4 linked regions of the Callithrix jacchus genome follow. The protein of the gene in region 4 interacts with the protein of the main gene of each other region in a pairwise test. Links are inferred from orthologs where the notes say so. Each region holds a gene or a part of one and is shown on either strand. Other genes may lie near its edges.

Region 1 (4,280 bases), on a different chromosome or scaffold from region 4:
GTTTATGAATACTTTCTGACCACCCCAAAACTTTTAACCTGTAATTATGAGGAATAAATAAGTTGTAAACTCTAGTGAGAGTTGAATTAAAAACTCAGATGGGTCTGGTGGCTCACACCTATAATCCCAGCCCTTTGGGAGGCTGAGATGGCAAGATCTCTTGATGCTGGAAGTTCTGGCCCAGCCTGGCCAACATGGCAAAACCCCGTCTCTATTGAAAAATACAAAAGTTAGCTGGTGTGGTTACAGGAGGCTGTAATCCCAGCTACTCAGGAGGTTGTACTGAGCTGAGATCATGCCACTGCACTCCAGCCTGGGCAACAGAGCAAAACTCATCTCAAAAACACACACACACACACACAAAAAACAACAAAAAACCTCTTGATTTTCCTCAAAGACCCAAGTTGATAGAGACTGCCAGGCCAAGCTTAAAGAAGTCTTCTGAACTATATTCAAGTCTTAAGAGGAATGAGGATTCATCTTTGTTCCATTCTTATGTGTCAGGGGTTAGACGTGAGGAGTCTGCTTTTCCTGAAAATTGACTGCAACCACCTTGAAATAATCAGTCCTTTCCCTCAAGGTTCCCCAGGTGGAAGGTAGGTCCTGATGATCTGCACCTGATAGGTGGTACACTGATGGGGTTTAGGTTCAGGGAAAATGCTATGATTTCTCATTAACATCCCACTTTATGCTACCCCAATCCTGAGAACTTAACTCCCCTTCCCCGCTCAAAGCCTTGTTTACTTAGTACATACCTTATGTCCAACTTGCTAGTGCAAATTTCATGCATAAGCAATATAGATAGGGTAAACCCTTTTGCTTATCAGAAAAAAATAACACCTTCTAAAAGTCAAAAAACCCAGTTTTTTCCTTTAATTTGTAAAGCTGTGCCACAAACTTCTAGCGGGTGCCAATGGTCACCTGCCACACTCGCACCAGGTTGTCTGTGTAGCCAGCAAACAGAGTCTGCAGGGGAGAAATGACAATGACAGGTCAGGTTGGCATCATAAACTCTACAGTCTCACTACATTAAGCAAAAGTGGCTTTTTTGAGTCTTGCTCTGTTATCCAGGCTTCAGTGCAGTGGTGAAATCCTGGCTCATTGAAGCCTTGAGCCCCTGCAGTTCAAGTGATACTCCCACCCCAGCCTCGCATAGGCATGTGCCACCATGCTGGGGTGTCTGTAAGAAACCTCTCTCTTGGCCGGGCACAGTGGCTCATGCCTGTAATCTCAGCTCGTTGAGAGGCCAAGGTGGGCAGATCACAAGGTCAAGAGATGAAGACCATCCTGGCCAACATGGTGAAGCCCCACCTCTACTAAAAAATAAAAAAATCAGCTGGGCGTGGTGGTGCACGCCTGTAGTCCCAACTACTCAGGAAGCTGAGGCAGGAGAACCGCTTGAACCAGGGAGATGGAGGTTGCAATGTGCTGGGATCATGCTACTGCACTCCAGCTTGGCAAGATTAAGTGAGACTGTCTCAGCAAGAAAAATGAGACAAAACCCTCTCTCTTCAACAGTCACATTATGTAAGTGGTGGTTATGTATTCCTTGAGGAAGAAACCGCTGGTGATAAGGATCTAGACATTTGAAAACTGATCAGATTAATCAAGGTATTAACTGAAAGCTGATAGCCACTGCCCTCCAGATCAATCTCCCCTCTGATGCAGAAACGTACTCACTGGCATGGCAAATTAGGGCATTATGCTTATGCTGTCATTTCACTTAATGCCAAAGACGCTGCTCTTGTGTCTGACAGACTAGATACACTAACAGAATGAGGGAGAAAAGTCATTGGCCAAGTTACCTAAGAGGACAGACCCACTTACCTGGCCATCAGCAGACCAGGCCAGGGAGGTGCACTGGGGTGGTTCTGCCTTGCTGCTGGTGCTGATAACTTCCTGCTTCAGTTCGTCTACAATGATCTTCCCCTCTAAATCCTGGGGAGAGCAAAAGCACCCTTAAAATGTTTACCAATGACGGACTCCCCTATTAAAAGCCCCTTTATAACTCAAGATTTTCAAGTTACAAAGGGATGATTTTGTTATCAATGCCTAGATGCATTTTTAGTTGCCATAGTGGAAGGGTGGTTTGCTACTGGCATCTAGTAGATGCTGGAAATGCTGTTAAACATCCTAAAATGTACAAGACAGCACTCCACAACAAAGAGTTATCCAGATGTCAATTGTGGATATTGAGTAAGCTTAGCTGCCACATGGGAGTCAGATGGCATATATAGTAACCAAAACATTGTCAGGGCTTAGAGAGTGTAGCCAGGTACTCACTCAACTGTAATCCACACTCACCCAAATCTTGATGCTGGGGCCTGTAGCAGCACAGAGCCAATAGCGGTTAGGGCTGAAGCATAGGGCGTTGATGATGTCCCCACCATCTAGGGTGTAAAGGTGCTTGCCTTCGTTGAGATCCCATAACATGGCCTGGCCATCCTGGGCAAACAGGTAGGTTAATCAGGACACTATGACCTGTTCCAGATGTTAATCCTGCCCATCTCAAGATTCCATCAGAATCAGTTCTTACCTGTCTTCCATTACCCCAGGTTTCTTGAAAGCTAATGACTTGAGTACCAATTTATTTCTATAAGCCCTTCCTTTAACGCAAGACCTTACCAACATTATCAATAAAAATCCTCCCAATTTATATAAACACTGTTATCATTTCTGAAAACTAGGATCTCAATCTCATCAATTGCTTCAAGAAACCAACTTCATAGAAAATAATCTTTTTTCAGGGCACGGTGGCTCACGCCTGTAATCCCAGCACTTTGGGAGGCTGAGGCAGGAGAACTGCTTGAACCCAGGAGGTGGAGGTTGCGGTGAGCCAAGATCGCACCATTGCACTCTAGAATGGGCAAAAAGCAAAATTCCATCTCTAAAAAACAACCCAACTTTTTCTTCTAGACAGTATGCCTTAACTGTCATTTGCTGAATAGTAATCTTTGGAAACATATTCTCAGACTGTCATCTCATTATCCTAAAACCATCTTGGCTAATGTTTGTCATTTTATGGTAGAGATGCTGGTTAAGTGCTCCTTCCATGACACTGTCTTTCACTGAATAGGAAACTCCTAGCCCCCAAATACCTTGCCTCCAGAAGCACAGAGGGATCCATCTGGAGAGACAGTCACTGTGTTCAGATAGCCTGTGTGGCCAATGTGGTTGGTCTTCAGCTTGCAGTTAGCCAGGTTCCATACCTGCATAAATATGACATTGACAGGTGAACAACCTAGCTCTGATCAACTAGGGTCAGACCCAACAAAAAAGGGCTTGGCATTGCTGGATAAAATAGGCATTTATCATTCAGTAACACATCCTGGCCACTTAAAGTTACATTATGACACATACCCAGTGCTATGTCTGGACTTATAAGGGATATCAATTAGCTTCTTCAGATCATGTAACAAGAGAAAGAGTCAACTGAGGGAATCTGTAAAGCCTTACACGGGAGTTGGAGCCTATAACCACCTGGGAGCACAACCTGACTGGTAAAGCCCCTGCTTTGGCTCGAAGCTCACCTTGACCAGCTTGTCCCAGCCGCAGGAGACAATGATAGGGTTGCTGCTGTTGGGTGAGAAGCGGACACAAGACACCCACTCTGAGTGGCTCTCATCCTACAGTGGATGAAAAGGAAATAAGGGGAAACAGTCTGATCCTCTGAAATGCTAGTCCCTCCAGTAGGATGATGACTAACAGCACCTCTCAAAAACCCAGGAAAACCTTTAAGCTCAACAGAATCCCTTTAGATTCTAGACAAGACATTTTTTTTTTAAATTTAGAGATGGGGGCTGGGTGCAGTGGCTCAACGCCTGTAATCCCAGTACTTGGAGAAACTGAGGCGGGTGGATGACCTGAGGTCAGGAGTTCCAAACCCACCTGGCCAACATGGTGAAACCCTTTCTACCAAAAATACAAGAATTAGCTGGGTGTGGTGGCAGGCACCTATAATCCCGGCTACTTGGGAGGCTGAGGCAGGGGACTGTTTGAACCCAGGAGGTGGAGGCTGCAGCAAGCCAAGATTGCCACTGCGCCCCAGCCTGGGCAACAAGTGAAACTTCGCCTCAGAACAACAACAACAACAAAAAGTAGACACAAAATTCAGAGATGGGGGTCTCAGTATGTTGGCCAGGCTGCTCTCCTGTCCTCAAGCAAACCTCCCACCTTGGACTACCAAAGGGTCAGGATTACAAGCATGAGCCGAGCCCAGACAAGGGTGGGAGAGAACCGTAGACACATGCTCTGACCGTGCCCTCACTTTACCTGGACAG
Region 2 (4,927 bases), on a different chromosome or scaffold from region 4:
TCTGAAGTTGACAGAAATCTATTTAATTCTAACTGTGCTGACCAAGCTGAGCTCCTGCAATGATGTTCGTCACTGTTATTTTTAATGGCCCTCAAATAGCTGTGAAAAGCTTGTGCAAATGGTTTTTAAATGATGACACAACTGACCTGTGTATGGGAAAAAACACGCTATGCAATAGGCAAAGCGAATCAGGACCTTACTTTACACCATACTCAAAATGGATCGGAGACCTAAACTAAGAGCTAAAACTAGAAAACGCTTTGAAAAAAATAAGGCATCAATCTTCACAACCTTGGATTAGGCAGTGGTTTCTTGGATGTGACACTAAAAAAGCACAAGTTGCACTTGGTGAATCAAAAGCAAAGTAAAAAGTAAAAAAGCGCAAGTGACCCAAAAAAAAAAAAACAGGTTAAAATGAACTTCATCAAAATAAATAACTTTTGTGTCAGAGGACATTACCAAGAATGAAAAGAAAACCCACAAAATGGGAAGTAATACATGCAAATCATTAATGTGATAAGAGAATTATACCCAGAATAAACTAAAGAACTCTTAAAACCCAACAATTAAAAAGGTAAATAGGCTGGGCAGCGTGGCTCACACCTGTAATTGGAGCACTCTGGGAGACCTAGGCAGGTAGATCATGAGGTCAGGAGTTCAAGACCAGCCTGGCCAACACTACAACACAGAAATTAGCCAGGCATGCGCCTATAATCCCAGCTACTCAGGAGGCGGAGGCAGGAGAATTGCTTGAACCCAGGAGGCAGAGGTTGCAGTGAGCCGAGATCCTGCCACTGCACTCCAGCCTGTATGACAGAGCAAGACTCCATGGGGTAGGGAGAAAGCTGCATATTGTAGGACTCTGTTTATATGAAATGACCAAAAGAGGCAATCTATAGAGAAAGTAGATTAGTGATTGCCTGCAGTGGCTAGATGGAGGAATCAGGAGTGACTGCTAATGGTATTCTTTGGAGATGACAATAATGTTCTAGAATTAGTTAGTGGTATCTGATGCATAATTTTATGAGGACTAAGAAACAATTTAATAAGCTTCAATAAATGGGTAAATTTTATGGTATATAAATTAAATCTCATTAAAGCTGTCACTTAAAAAAATAATTAAAGGCTGGGTGAGGTGGCTCACACCTGTAATCCCAGCACTTTGGGAGGCCAAGGTGGGCGGATCATGAGGTCAGGAGATCAAGACCATTCTGACCAACGTGGCAAAACCCTGTCTCTACTAAAAATACAAAACTAGCTGGGTGTGGTGGCGCATGCCTGTAATCCCAACTAACTCAGGAGGCTGAGGCAGGAGAATCGCTTGAACCTGGGAGGCAGAGGGTGCATTGAGCTGAGATCATGCCATTGCACTCCAGCCTGGGCAACAGGAACCAAACTCCTCTCAAAAAAAAAAAGTTATATATACATCATAAGGTCTATTATAAAATAATTCAATTTTAAAAACCTGGAAGATACTAAGTGTTTATCTGTGTAATAAGATTATGGATGACTATAATGCAAAAAAATTGTAAACACTTCAACAGTTAGCTTAGAAGGTGGGAGAGCTGCCTTAGGTCACAAACTCCCAACCTCTGATGGCAGCCCTGACTACAGTGTAACCCCATTCTGTTACACAGAAGTTACATGTTGCATTTTCACCCACTCTGGACATTAAGAGACCAGGGTCCTACTTTACTGGCGCTGTAAACCAGAGATCAATCTGATTCTGCCAGTACTTTTTTGTGTTCATTTTTGTCTCCTTAGTAATCAGCCCACAGCAAATTTGTGTTCAGTGAATCAACTATCTGGAACTTATAAATTTGTCCAAATGAATCCTTCACTCGCTTGAAAACCATTTATCAAAGAATCCACACCTGAACTCAAGGCTCTTCTGGGGATGATCCACGACGGGTCTTGCAGGGTAATGGAGTTGGTGCCCTGGAATCCCCAGACCAGTACTTACGTTTCCCCAGCAACTTTCTGCACTAATTTAGCTTCTGTCCCATTCAGTTCCAGCTCCCAACCTCCAGACATCTTAGGGAGGGTTTTATGCTTCTGGATTTTTCTTTCCTCCTTAATTTCATCACTCAGGAAATCAACAAAAGCTTTGTCTCCTAGAAATCCAGATACATTAAAAGGGAAGCCAGTTAGTCTAAAACATAAAATTATTACCCAAGTTATTGTAGCCAGAAATCTGGCCTGTTTCTAATCTCTGCTATTATGCTTACTCTGGAAGCCTCAGTTTCCTTATCTGTAAAAATAACACAATAGTATTGCGAAGCTAAGGACGTCCAACAGCGAACGCATTGCCACCTTCTGTTGTAAAGCAGAAGAACTTCCAGGCATCCTCTTCCACTGCCAAACGATTTAACTATGCTATTTTCAATCACGACCTTGGGCTTTCCCAAAGGTCCACTTTTGAGAGACTAAAGCTAAGGATAGAGGTACCCTCTAGTATTTATCTACCCCGTTCCAACAGAAAATGAAACTTGTGGAAAGGCGAGGTGGGGAAATATGATCACACGTGGGTTTAACCCGCTGGTTGCCAATCAATGGAATAATGTCCCAGATCTCGGAGGTCGGTTGCAGGCGCCACTCCTGGTCTACGTTTTTCTTTCGTAGACCGCAAACCCCAACAACAGCCCTGGCCCACGAGCATGAACCTCACCTTCGGTGTGCAGCGCGCCGCAGCCACAGCCGCAGGCGCAGGGCCCGCGAGGCCGCAGGAGGCCCGGCCGCTGCTCGGAACCTGCGCGCACGCTGAGCAGCCCGAAGGGCCGGGCGCAGAGCTGGGGCGCCGGCTGCAGGAGCTGCCGGAATGGCGAAGCAGGCGAGGCGGGAGCCGCGGCGCGGAGGCCGGCAACGGAGGAGCCCAGTACACGGGGCACGCAGCGTAGCAGAGGCAGCATCGCGGAGAGGACTAGGAACACGTGCAGACGCAAAGGACTACCCAACTCTAGGCTCCCCGCGACCTAGCCCGCTGCCGGAAGCCCCGCCCCGTCAGGAAGCGCTTCCCGCGCCGGCGCTCTGAAGACCTAAGGCCAGTGGGAGGAATCGCGCCCTCTGCTGGAGACCTCCGGTATAGCCCGGGAAGCCTCGAATTTTTTCCGCGAGCTTTCTTGCTGCGTTAGCCTGAGGCCGCTGTCCGAAGCTGTTTAATTCCCTTCGGTGGCTGCTTAGACATTTTCCATCTACTGGTCTCAAGCCACACCGTTTTTGGGCTGCGTGGAATGCACTCTTGTCTCCCCTCAGCTCTTACCAGACCCTTACACGGTCACTTTCCTCTAGGAGGCTGTGGTGTTTCTGTGTGTGTGTGTACAGGTTTTCATCCACAGTTCCTGGCTGTGGTGTTACAGTGTGTGTGTGTGTGTGTGTGTGTAGGTTTTCATCCATAGTTCCTGGGAGGCTGTGGTGTCACGGTGTGTGTATAGGTTTTCATCCAGTGTGTGTGTGTGTGTGTAGGTTTTCATCCACAGTTCCTGGGAGGCTGTGGTGTCACGGTGTGTGTATAGGTTTTCATCCAGTGTGTGTGTGTGTGTGTGTATAGGTTTTCATCCACTGTGTGTGTGTGTGTGTGTGTGTATAGGTTTTCATCCACAGTTCCTGGCTCTTAACTCTCACAGCCCTTGTTACAGTGTTCTGTGATAATGTTGGGTGTGTTAGGCCTCAGAGAATAGAATCTCTCTCCCCTCCTCCTCCCCTTTCACAGGCCCCATAGCGGGACTCTCATCTCCCCCCACATTTCTGATTGTGGGTCTTAAGTCCCTCCCCAGAGAAGGTCCCACCCTATACCTTGGGGAAAGAGATGCTGAAGTTTGGAAGCTTCCATAAAAACCCAAGAGGACAGGGTTTGGAGAGCCTCTGAGAGCTAAACACTTGGAGGTTCCTGGAGGGCTGTAGCCCTGGGAGGGGAGCTCATCTCCTTATCCGCATCCTCGGTCATATCCTTTACATTAAACCAGTAAATGTGTTTCCCTGAGTTCTGTGAGAGGCTCAAGTAAATTCATATAACCCAAAGAGGGGGTTCAGATTTAGATTAAGAACCAAGAATCCCACCTTCTCAGGATACACAGGACATATAAGCTACCAAGAAGGTATGGCTTACTAACTCATGATAAGACTAACACTTAATATCTTCTGAACACTCCTGAGTCACAGGACACCTTTATAAGAAAAGAAAAGCTATTTTCTAAACAATTTTCAATGAATAACGGAAAGGAGATTCAGAAAACGAGCCACACACATCATGTAAGATTAGTTTTTAATGGATTTGATCATCGGGTGCAAACTTGAGCATTATGTACAAGAGCTTTCTGTAGTTATTTCTACACAAACAAAAGCCTGAACCTACTTGATTTTTTTCCTCCTCCCTCTAGTTACCAAGGAATGCTATCTTAGATGCATGGCCTATTATCACACTGGTCTTTAAAAAAAAAAAAAAAATGCATGGCCACAGTTCCAGGCAGTTCCTGGTAGCTGGATTTAGGATTTATATATCACAGTACAGTACATAATCAGTTTTACCCACAGTGCAAAACTTGCTTCCATTCAGGCATCTCTTTGCAACTGGCAGCAATGCAGCATTAGGGTTTTTATCCAGGACATGGTGTTTGCAGTCCTGCCCCTTGTAGTAAAATATGTGTTACTCTGGGTGCTGCACACTCCATGATTACTAGAAGGCAAACACCTGAGGCATGCAATCTGGGTGGAGTGCATCTATTTACAAGAAGCAAAGAGGTATCACATCATCAGAGATTTTACCAATGGAAAAAGAGTAGCTGAGGATTATATTGCAGTGTTATTGTGAAACGTTTAACTTTCCTAAGTTTAAAGTGTACTATCCCCTGCAGCTCAATATAAACAACGATTTATTTCTTTGTAGGAATATGTGGAGTCAGATGGGTTTTCCAATCTGATTTAATCCCTG
Region 3 (4,966 bases), on a different chromosome or scaffold from region 4:
AAAGACTCTGAACTGACATTTACAGAGTTTAGGACTGACTCAGGACGGCCTTTAGGAGGTGGAATTGACAGGCCTAGGCGGCATTGGTAGGGGTAAGGGATACTGCACTAGCCTCCTAACTGCTTTCTCTACTTCCATTCCTTGCCCCTTTGCAACCCATTCTCCACTCAGCAGTCATTTTTAAAAAGATGCCCCTCCCTACTTATGACTCTAAAATTGCTCTTCTCACTCTTGCCCTTAGGATATATTTCCAATTAAATATACCTGTGACCCTGCCCACCTCTGCAACCCAATGCCACACTGGAGTCTTATTGAACTACTTGACTTGCATTTCCCGAGATCCCACCTCTTCTCGCCTGTACCCTGTGAGCGGAAAGTCAGCCCTCCACCTTCTCCCTGCTTCCACTCCCAAAATACTTCGTGCTTTTAATTTAATTTTATTTTTTTAAAGACGGGGTTTCACCATGTTGGTCAGGCTAGTTTTGAACTCCCGACCTCAGGTGATCCGCCCGCCTTGGCCTCCAAAGTGCTTGGATTACAGGCGTGAACCCACGCCCGGCCCAATATTTCGTGCTTTTGCAGCTCTCGAGTATTTCCAGTGCTAGCTGTTTAAATTCCTGCCGCCATCAGAAGGCAGAAACTGACTCGAGAACTATTCCATCCCCAGCCGATAGTAGACGCTTAAAAAAGAACGAAAGACGGTGGGTGGAGGACTTCAGTAACATCAGGTGGCAGCCTCAATTTTATCGTTTGTGAAACGTGGATAGTAATCCTTCTATCACATGGCTGTTGTCGGAATAAAATGGAAAAACCAAACAGGCTAGCTTGTTCAATAAATGTGAGTTGAATTAAATCTGATTTGTGGCCAGTAGAAAAAGACATGAACACTCGAAGACACTTCTTTTTAATACATGTGTATGCCTGGTAAAACGGATCAGAAGGCAGGTCCCCATGGAGCACACCCTCGCCTTAAACATGCTAAACGTGCTGAGCCCAGGCTGTCTGAGCCTGCGTGGTCCCTCCAAGGTGACTGCTCCGACAAAAGCGTAAGCTCCTCAAACGCATACGTTTAAGGCAATTCCAGAAACCATAGGCTGTGCCGCCACAACACGGCCATTAAAGAAAAGATGACTTTATGCCTGCAGTCATGTTCTCAGATCACAAGGACTGTATTTGGAGCAGAGAGGGAGGGAAGCCTTCTCTTTACGAAGGGCTAATGCGTAGTCGGGCCCCCCTCCAATCTCGGGTCCGGCCGGGTAATTCCTGCCCAGCATTCGGGCGTGCCTTTTCTTCAGCTGGGACACAACCCTGAACGTGGGGCTAGCCAGCCCGGCGGCTGCCTCGTGGAAATCACGTTCTCTCTGCCCGTCCTCTCGGGTACTCTATGGTTTTTGTGGCCGACTACTCTAATTCTAGTTCCGGTCTCTATGGCGGCCGGCGGAGGCAGGAACGGTTGTAGGTCGGCTGAATTAGCCGCCAAAGGGCCAATGAGAGTGGAGAACTGATAAAATATTATCCAGTAGAAGCCAGGAATTGGGGTCAGGTGGGCAGATTGACAGCAGCAGTGGCCAGTGAACAACGCCTAGGGCGGGTCGATCGTAGGGCTTATCCCGCCTGTCCCGCCATTCTCGCTAGTTCGATCGGTAGCGGGAGCGGAGAGCGGACCCCAGAGAGCCCTGAGCAGCCCCACCGCCGCCGCCGGCCTAGTTACCATCACATCCCGGGAGGAGCCGTAGCTGCCGTAGCCGGCCCCAGTCACCATCACCGCAACCATGAGCAGCGAGGCCGAGACCCAGCAGCCGCCCGCCGCCCCCCCCGCCGCCCCCGCCCTCAGCGCCGCCGACACCAAGCCCGGCACTACGGGCAGCGGCGCAGGGAGCGGTGGCCCGGGCGGCCTCACATCGGCGGCGCCTGCCGGCGGGGACAAGAAGGTCATCGGTGAGGGCCGGACGGGGACGGGTGTGGGGCCCTCGGGCAGCCTGGCAGCGGAACCGTTAGCCTGTGCAGGGCGAGCCGGCGGGCGCGCGGCCGGCGGGGACCGACTCCGCGGCGCGCGGCCGCCCCTCCCCCAGCACCCCCACTCATCCTCACGGGGGCCCGCCCGGCAGGCGCGCGCGCTCTGCCTCCTGCGCCCCCTGTGGACCCCGCGCGGACGCGCGCCCCTCCCCCTGCGGTCGCGCGCCCGCCAACCGCGTGTGCGACGGGGTCCCCTCCCCGCGACCGGCCTCGTGCGCTGTGGCCCGCACGCCGTTGTTCGCGTCTCCCCCACCCAGCTCCCTTCCGCGTGTGCTCAGAGGGCGCGGCGCACCGCCTACGCAGGCCGGAGTGGGCCGGGGCGGCTTCCCCTTCCCTCACGTGCTCTCCGCCCGCGGCCTGCGCACACACCCATTCTGGGCCCGCGCCCCGGGCCTGCCCTGGAGCGCCCCGCGGCTTCAGACTCACCCACGTGTGCGGCGGCGGCGGTGGTGGCGTGGCCCGGCACCCGGGAGGTGGAGAGAAAGGGCTGTCAGGTGGCCTAGCGGGCAGCGTCCTAGGGACCGGAGACCGAAGCCGGGCGGGTTTGGAAAAGGATAGGTGGTAATCGTGGCTTGTTTTGCTTTGTTTTCTTTTCCAGCAACGAAGGTTTTGGGAACAGTAAAATGGTTCAATGTAAGGAACGGATATGGTTTCATCAACAGGTGAGCTCCCGGACCCTGAAGCTTCCATCCCACTGTCTCGCTTGTTGCCTGCTCTGTCGGCTTCTTGGCGCTTGGGAAGCCCCGAAGGGCGTTTACTACCTCTGGTGTATTAGTGTGATTTTTTTTTTTTTTTTTTTTAATTCCTTGACGACTGGAGGGATTAGTGGATCTAGAGAAGGTCTTTGTTTTGCAGCTAAATGTTAATTTGAAGCCAACTTCAAAGGCTTTCTTACAGTACAAAGCAATTTAAAAGGCAAGCAAAGTGAATGAGCCATGCCTTAACAGGGTAAACGGGAAACTACGGTCCTGTACATTTTTATCCTTGTTATCCTTTTCTACTTGATTGAACTCGGTGTTTGAGAGAGTGATCCACTGACATCGGATATTTACACCTTGTTAACATTTTGGGGGTAAGATTTGACGTGCCAAGTATATGAGGTTTTGTCATCTTTACCGAGAGGTGTTGCCTTTTTCACCTTCATTGTAATACCTTAGATAAATTTTATATTAGCACCAGAGAGAAGCTGTTTTTATTTGCTCATAGAATAATGTATCTGCTAGAAAATGGTTCTTTGCTTTCTTCAGTTCTTATTTTTCATTCTTCCTTGTCCTAAAATCATACTGATTAAATCGATTTCTATTAGATTTCTGGCTATAGCTTAGAGTGGCCATAGTCCCTGGTAACTTGACATTGTTCTTGCTTGAAGGCAAAGCTGCAGGCTCCATCTTTAGGACTTACTTTCGGGTTGTTGCTGGTAATGTGCAGTACACTGGATTCCATGGGCTCCCTTGTGAGCCAGGCATCATTTTCAAGATGGCTGCCAAGGCTTAGTAGTGCAGTTTACATGAGTGTAGAGCCCTGGGTATGCCAATAGGAATCTTGGCCTTATAGGTATGGTACATAGTGCCATCTCAGCATTCTCTTACTGTAGAAGACCTAAGCAGATGATTAAAAGAACAATTAAGAATGTTTGTGGAGTGGACAACAAATGGACGAAATCAAGCTTAAGGACAGACAATCATAGCTTGATGAAAAACCGTTCGTTCATTAATCAATCATACATTATCGTGGAAACAGAGTAAGAGAGAAGCATTTGATGGTCTATTCTCTACTTTTGCAATTGTGGGAAAACGTTTTGTTTCTTCCAAAATCTTAGGATTTTCCAACCTTCTATACTGTTGCCACTGTTGTGGCTGTAACTATGTTTTTCATTAATTTTTTGATAATAGCTTATTAGCAAGGAAGGAGGGGAATGCTTATATATGATTGATATACTGATAGCTTTTTAACTGATCTTTCTGAACTTACTAGTGTTTTAGTTTGTGTTTCTGTCTTATTCTGAGTCTCCGAACTAGTCTAACCCTTCAACCAGTGTTTTTCAGATTTAAGTGTGCTTGCCTAGGTCTGGGTACATTTTTTAGCAAGAATAATGTGAGCCATACCTTCAAAATCACTGCTTTTAACCCTTGACCCAATGTAATGGTAACTTTGGTGTGCAGATTTGCAGCCTTTTCAGTGGGTAGATTGCAGTTTTGTATGTATGAAGTTTAGCGTGTGCCATGTTTCGCTACATTTTGTTGAGTGGCATAGGTTATCACATTTTTAAAAATCAAGTTTTATCCAAAATAAGAGTAATTCTTACAAGTATTTCATGAGGTGTCATTCATTGAATATCTCTGTTCTGAATTGGAATCAACTCAATTGGTCATCCTCCAGGGCAAATTGTGAATTGGCTTTTGATGGTCTTTTGTTTGGACTATCCTAACCTCAATTATTTTGTCAAATTGACTGGTTAAAATGTTCTTTATGCTTCTGAACTGGTTGTTTTAATGACTGACACTTTTTGATAAGATGCTGTAAAATCTGACTCCAATTAAATACAGGGAAGGTTTGCTTTAATTAAGGAAAGTATGTGTTAAATCAGTTTGGAAGCCAGCAGTTGGTTCTATATGTGGTTCATGTAGTAGAACAAATAGACTTGGCTGGAGGCACCTGGTTCTTAAGAGGGAAGGAGACAGACTGACACATTACGTGTGCTGTTTTCTATATAAAGGAGAGGGTGCAGTGTTTGGGATGACTAGTGTGACAACTTTTAATTGCAATTTTTGGATGCGCTGGATTATATATTCTAGGATTGTAAGATTTTGTTATTGCCCGGGCTGGAGTGCAGTGGTGCGGCTCACCACAGCCCCCACCTCCTGGGTTCCAGTCATTCTCCTGCCTCCGCCTCTCAAGTAGCTGGGATGACAGGTGTGAGCCACCACACCCATCCACGATATTTTCAGTT
Region 4 (4,286 bases):
CACCATTTGTTGAAAGTACTTTCCATTCTCCATTGAATTGTCTTTGGCACCATGATTGGAAAAAAAAAAAATCAATTGACCGTAAATGTGAGGGTTTATTTCTGGACTCTGAATTCTATTCTATCAATCTATATGTCTGTCTTTGTTTTCTTTTTAAAACTCATTAATTTAAAGAGGAGAGCTACAAAAGTATGCATTTATGAGCCACTGCTTTAAAACTTCTGTTTATGGTTTCCTGTATGTTATTTTGGTAGCTTCTCCCATTTTCCATAATTGCCTCATTTTGTCTGTCATGCTCTCTGGAAGGGAGTGCCAGTGGTGAAGTGTAATGTTAATGTCATCAGGATGATGATGTTCCCATTTTTCAAAGATTGCTTTGAACACAGGAAGTATCTTCTGTTGGCAGTGATGACATAAAATGTTGAAAATAAAATATGGAAGCTTGTGAGTCAAAGATTGTCTTACCTTATTTACATTTGAGATGCAGTACCACAAAAGTATGTTTAATTAATGGTTATAACTTTAATAAAGTAGACATTTCAGTACCATCAAAAATTATTATTTATGATTATACATCTCTTTATAGAGTTCCTGAGTTGGAGGTAGAAGAAGAAACTCAAGTTCAAGAGATGACTTTAGATGAGTGGAAAAATCTTCAAGAACAGACCAGACCAAAGCCTGAGTTTAACATCCGGAAACCAGAATCCACTGTTCCTTCCAAAGCAGTGGTGATTCACAAGTCAAAATATAGAGATGATGTAAGCATTATATTTTGTATGTAGAGGTAATCTTTACTTTTACCTTATTGGAAGTGAAATGCACCTTTCCACTTCCATCTTGAAAATGGAACATTAGTGGTTGGTGCTCTTGTTTCTAATCAGAGATGATATATGCCCAATTTTACTGTGTCTTTATTGCTCATTAAGGAAAGGAATTGAAACTTTGTGTTACTGACAGAAACGCAAAGCAGTTTGATTAACAGTGCATCTCCTGCTCACCCTGGGACTGTACACACACTGTGTGTTAACTGCATTTTTCTCAAGTGAGAGTTACAGATTGTTTCTTGTACAATTCAAAGTTATTCAAAGGATAATTACACTCTGTATTCCCTAATTAGGTTTACCTTCAGCTCTGATTCTTGATGAGAGCATTTCAGTGTGAGTAGTTGATGACTTTTTAAACTGTGGTTGAGGTGCCATGCTCTTCTGACGGCTTTCCCATGTTGGTTCAGCAGCTTCGCGCCCCCTGCCTAACTGCAGATGTGGCAGAAGATGAGCCCCCAAATTGCCTGGCAGCTTAGTCAGGCGCTGCCACAGTGGCCAGCATGCTGCGAGGGTTGCTCAGGGATCTCCTGTGTTGTGAGGGCCTTATTTCTCAAGACTCACATCTAGCTCTTCTCAGATGCTTCCGTTTTGCAGGGGGAGGTTTCTGGGGAAATATCTAGCAGTGTATGTTGATAGGGATGCCGCTGGTCATCGAGTCACCTGTGTATGTTAGTGAACTTAAGGATAGGTCCATTGAAGCATTCTCATCATGGGATTTAGAATCTGTGTCATTCAGTTACAGCTTGATACCAGTCACTGTGTCAGGGTGGGAATGAGCAGGCACTTCCCCTGTGCAGGGTATCAGTCATTGATTTTCATTTGGAATCTCAGGAATGTTATACTATTGTAGAGTGATTGACACTTCAGTTAGTTTTGTTTTCTGAGTGAATACTTTGATTAGAGGGTATTTAAGATACAGGATTCTCTCCCACCTTCTTGTTTTGGCCAGCCCAAGCTGTAGGAGGCCTTACTACTAAGCTTTGAGCTGTTCACAAGAAATGGCTTTTTGTAGACTAGGTGGCCAGAGCCTTATTTCCCTGGCGATCCCAGGCAGGTGTTTTCTAAGTCCATTAGCGAGCTGGGTTGGTTCTTTACTTGTCCACTTCCTTTGTTCTTTGTTCTAGGCATTGTAAATAAAACTTTCTCTAAAACAAATGTGCTGTCAGGGTTGAAATGTGCAGCTGACATGTTAGGTAAAAATAGAAGCTGCCCTTCTTTAATCCATGCCAGATTCATCCTCCCTGGCTCCAGAGGTCTCTCAGAATATTTGAAGCAAGTGGGTTAGCTGAGTCATCGAGCTTGGTCTCGGTAAAGCACACATCTTGGTCCTTGTTAATCTTAGGGGATTGAGGACTTTATAACATAATCTTGAGGATTATGTTGCTTTAAGAACAATTCTAAAGCAACATCAGCCAGATCTTCAGTTCATCAGTTTACTTTGTTCTGGACACCTGAAAATACAGAAGCGCTAGAACACCTAGCAAAGTTCAGACCTAATAACAACCCCGTGTAAGGCCCTGGGCAGTTGAAGCACTTTGGCGGGGCCAGCTGGAGCTGCAAGTGGAGCCCTTAGACTGGGTTCACCCCGTTTTACCGCCCCATGGCCCTTCCTGCAGAGGCAGCGCCCCGGGACAGAACTTACCAGTGCTCTCCCTGCCAGTGCCAAACAATGCAAGAGTTGATTATTTTGCCTGTTACTATTTTTGTGTGTTTACCTTTTCACAGAGTGCCAGTGCTCCTGGATTGTTTCTCTTCATCCTCTTAGCATTAAGTGTCCAACTACCTAAAGCCTCTGCTTTAACCTGAGACCTTAAAGGGGACGCAAATGTTAAACACGAAGCCCATCATGAGCCTGTGGCCTAAAGGTTTCGATGTGCTCATGGCAGTTGTGTCCCGTTTCCTGGTTGTAGGAATGTTTACTGTTCCAGCACTTTGGAGATTCTCACCCGAGGTCATTGACAGGTTTCCTTTCTGTAGGATTTTAGTTTATTTGTTTTGTTTTGTTTTATCCATTATTAGGAGTTGAAGCCAAATCAAATTTGGATCCGATTTAATTAATTTATTTAATATAGTTGTAACAAGAGATAGAGTTTTAAGTAAAAAAAAAAAAAAGCAGCCTAACTTCCTTGTGCAGCGTTGGTAGAGCACTCAGGTACCTGTACTCTGTTATTTTATAAAATTTCTCTATATTTTGGGTCAGAATTGTTTATTATAAGTCATGTGACTTTTAGCACCTGATATTTATAGTCAGCACCCCTGCTGAAAGGAATTTCTCTGTTCTATTCTGGAAAGGGGACGTTTCCTTATTTATCAAAGCATTTGTGAGCAGATAAGACAGAAAATAAGCAGAAATGAAAGCTTTATCTCAGCAAAATGCACTTAGATATAAAACATGTATATCATTTGCTATGATTGCTCATGCCAAATCTTACATCTTAACCTGCTCAGCTAATAGAAATTTGGTCCCACCCACCTTTGAATCATAGTAAGTTCACGGATGTTTGGAATTGCAAGAATGGGGGACTGCAACAGGTACAGAAACAGCAGTGCTGTCTTCCTTTGTCCAGCGCTGCAGCCTAGGGCTCTGTCTGGCCCCTGCTGGTGTTTTAGCTCCTGGGCAGCACATCGCAGCCACTAAGGCAGCTGAGTGTGGGGATGGCTGTGGACTTGTGTTTGATGCTGTAACTATGTTTCAGATGGTAAAAGATGACTATGAGGACGATTCCCATGTTTTCCGGAAAGCCGCCAATGACATCACATCTCAGCTGGAGATTAATTTTGGTAACCTCCCTCGTCCCGGGCGTGGAGCCAGAGGAGGCAACCGGGGAGGCCGGGGAAGGATCAGGAGGGCAGAGAACTATGGACCCAGAGCAGAAGTGGTGGTAGGTATCGGTATTGTAAATTCTCAGGTGGTTTGCTGAAGGAAGTAGATAAGGACAGTGCCCCAGGCCCAGGATGTTCTAATTTCAGAGGGTCATCAGTTTCTGCAGTTGCTTCTTCCTGTAGCCAGTGTGGGACTGATGTTGGGGCATTTGGACTGTGTTGTAGCATCATGGACATCCATCGGTGAGAGACCATTCTGTAGCCCTGGCTTCCAGGGTCTGCCGTGAAGGCAGTCTCCGGATCGGAGAAAACTCACTCTCATCTGCATTAGATGAGCTCCCCAGCTCGGGATTGAACTGGAACACCTGACGTTTTGCTTCCTGTGACCTGATTATATGTCCTGGGCTCATGTGATGCTGGCAGAGTGGACAAAGTCCTTACTAAGACCTCAAGCCCTTTGTGAGGGGACCTCCCTCACTCGGCTCACCTGCCTCACACTGTCCTCGGCCACGGCTGCCTGCTTCCAGCTCTCAACACAGCATGCTCCTTACCCCTGGCCTCTGCCTGCTGGCCTAAGTTCATTCTTCCAACCTCACTTCCTCACAGGTTTCTTTCATCACATCTCCTAGACCGGTCAAG

What was found.
Region 1: the proteins of HABP4 (region 4) and RACK1 interact in a two-hybrid assay, tested with the Homo sapiens proteins (2 studies listed by BioGRID). The link is inferred for Callithrix jacchus from reciprocal best matches to the Homo sapiens genes HABP4 and RACK1.
Region 2: the proteins of HABP4 (region 4) and C1QBP interact in a two-hybrid assay, tested with the Homo sapiens proteins (2 studies listed by BioGRID and IntAct). The link is inferred for Callithrix jacchus from reciprocal best matches to the Homo sapiens genes HABP4 and C1QBP.
Region 3: the proteins of HABP4 (region 4) and YBX1 interact in a two-hybrid assay, tested with the Homo sapiens proteins (2 studies listed by BioGRID and IntAct). The link is inferred for Callithrix jacchus from reciprocal best matches to the Homo sapiens genes HABP4 and YBX1.

The regions. Positions count from the first base shown.
Region 1 is NC_133503.1:73,612,111-73,616,390, reverse strand, and holds the end of RACK1 (small ribosomal subunit protein RACK1), read right to left. Parts: coding exon 4,273-4,280; intron 3,627-4,272; coding exon 3,531-3,626; intron 3,210-3,530; coding exon 3,099-3,209; intron 3,001-3,098; exon of another isoform or gene 2,771-3,000; coding exon of another isoform or gene 2,748-2,770; intron 2,446-2,747; coding exon 2,305-2,445; intron 1,939-2,304; coding exon 1,828-1,938; intron 967-1,827; coding exon 901-966; 3' UTR 845-900; downstream 1-844. UniProt on the Homo sapiens protein: Scaffolding protein involved in the recruitment, assembly and/or regulation of a variety of signaling molecules. Interacts with a wide variety of proteins and plays a role in many cellular processes.
Region 2 is NC_133506.1:106,967,965-106,972,891, forward strand, and holds the start of C1QBP (complement component 1 Q subcomponent-binding protein, mitochondrial), read right to left. Parts: upstream 3,003-4,927; 5' UTR 2,910-3,002; coding exon 2,669-2,909; intron 2,115-2,668; coding exon 1,964-2,114; intron 1-1,963.
Region 3 is NC_133508.1:79,327,038-79,332,003, forward strand, and holds the start of YBX1 (Y-box-binding protein 1), read left to right. Parts: upstream 1-1,633; 5' UTR 1,634-1,772; coding exon 1,773-1,938; intron 1,939-2,614; coding exon 2,615-2,678; intron 2,679-4,966. UniProt on the Homo sapiens protein: DNA- and RNA-binding protein involved in various processes, such as translational repression, RNA stabilization, mRNA splicing, DNA repair and transcription regulation.
Region 4 is NC_133502.1:77,345,707-77,349,992, reverse strand, and holds part of HABP4 (intracellular hyaluronan-binding protein 4), read left to right. Parts: intron 1-586; coding exon 587-758; intron 759-3,520; coding exon 3,521-3,706; intron 3,707-4,253; coding exon 4,254-4,286. UniProt on the Homo sapiens protein: Ribosome-binding protein that promotes ribosome hibernation, a process during which ribosomes are stabilized in an inactive state and preserved from proteasomal degradation.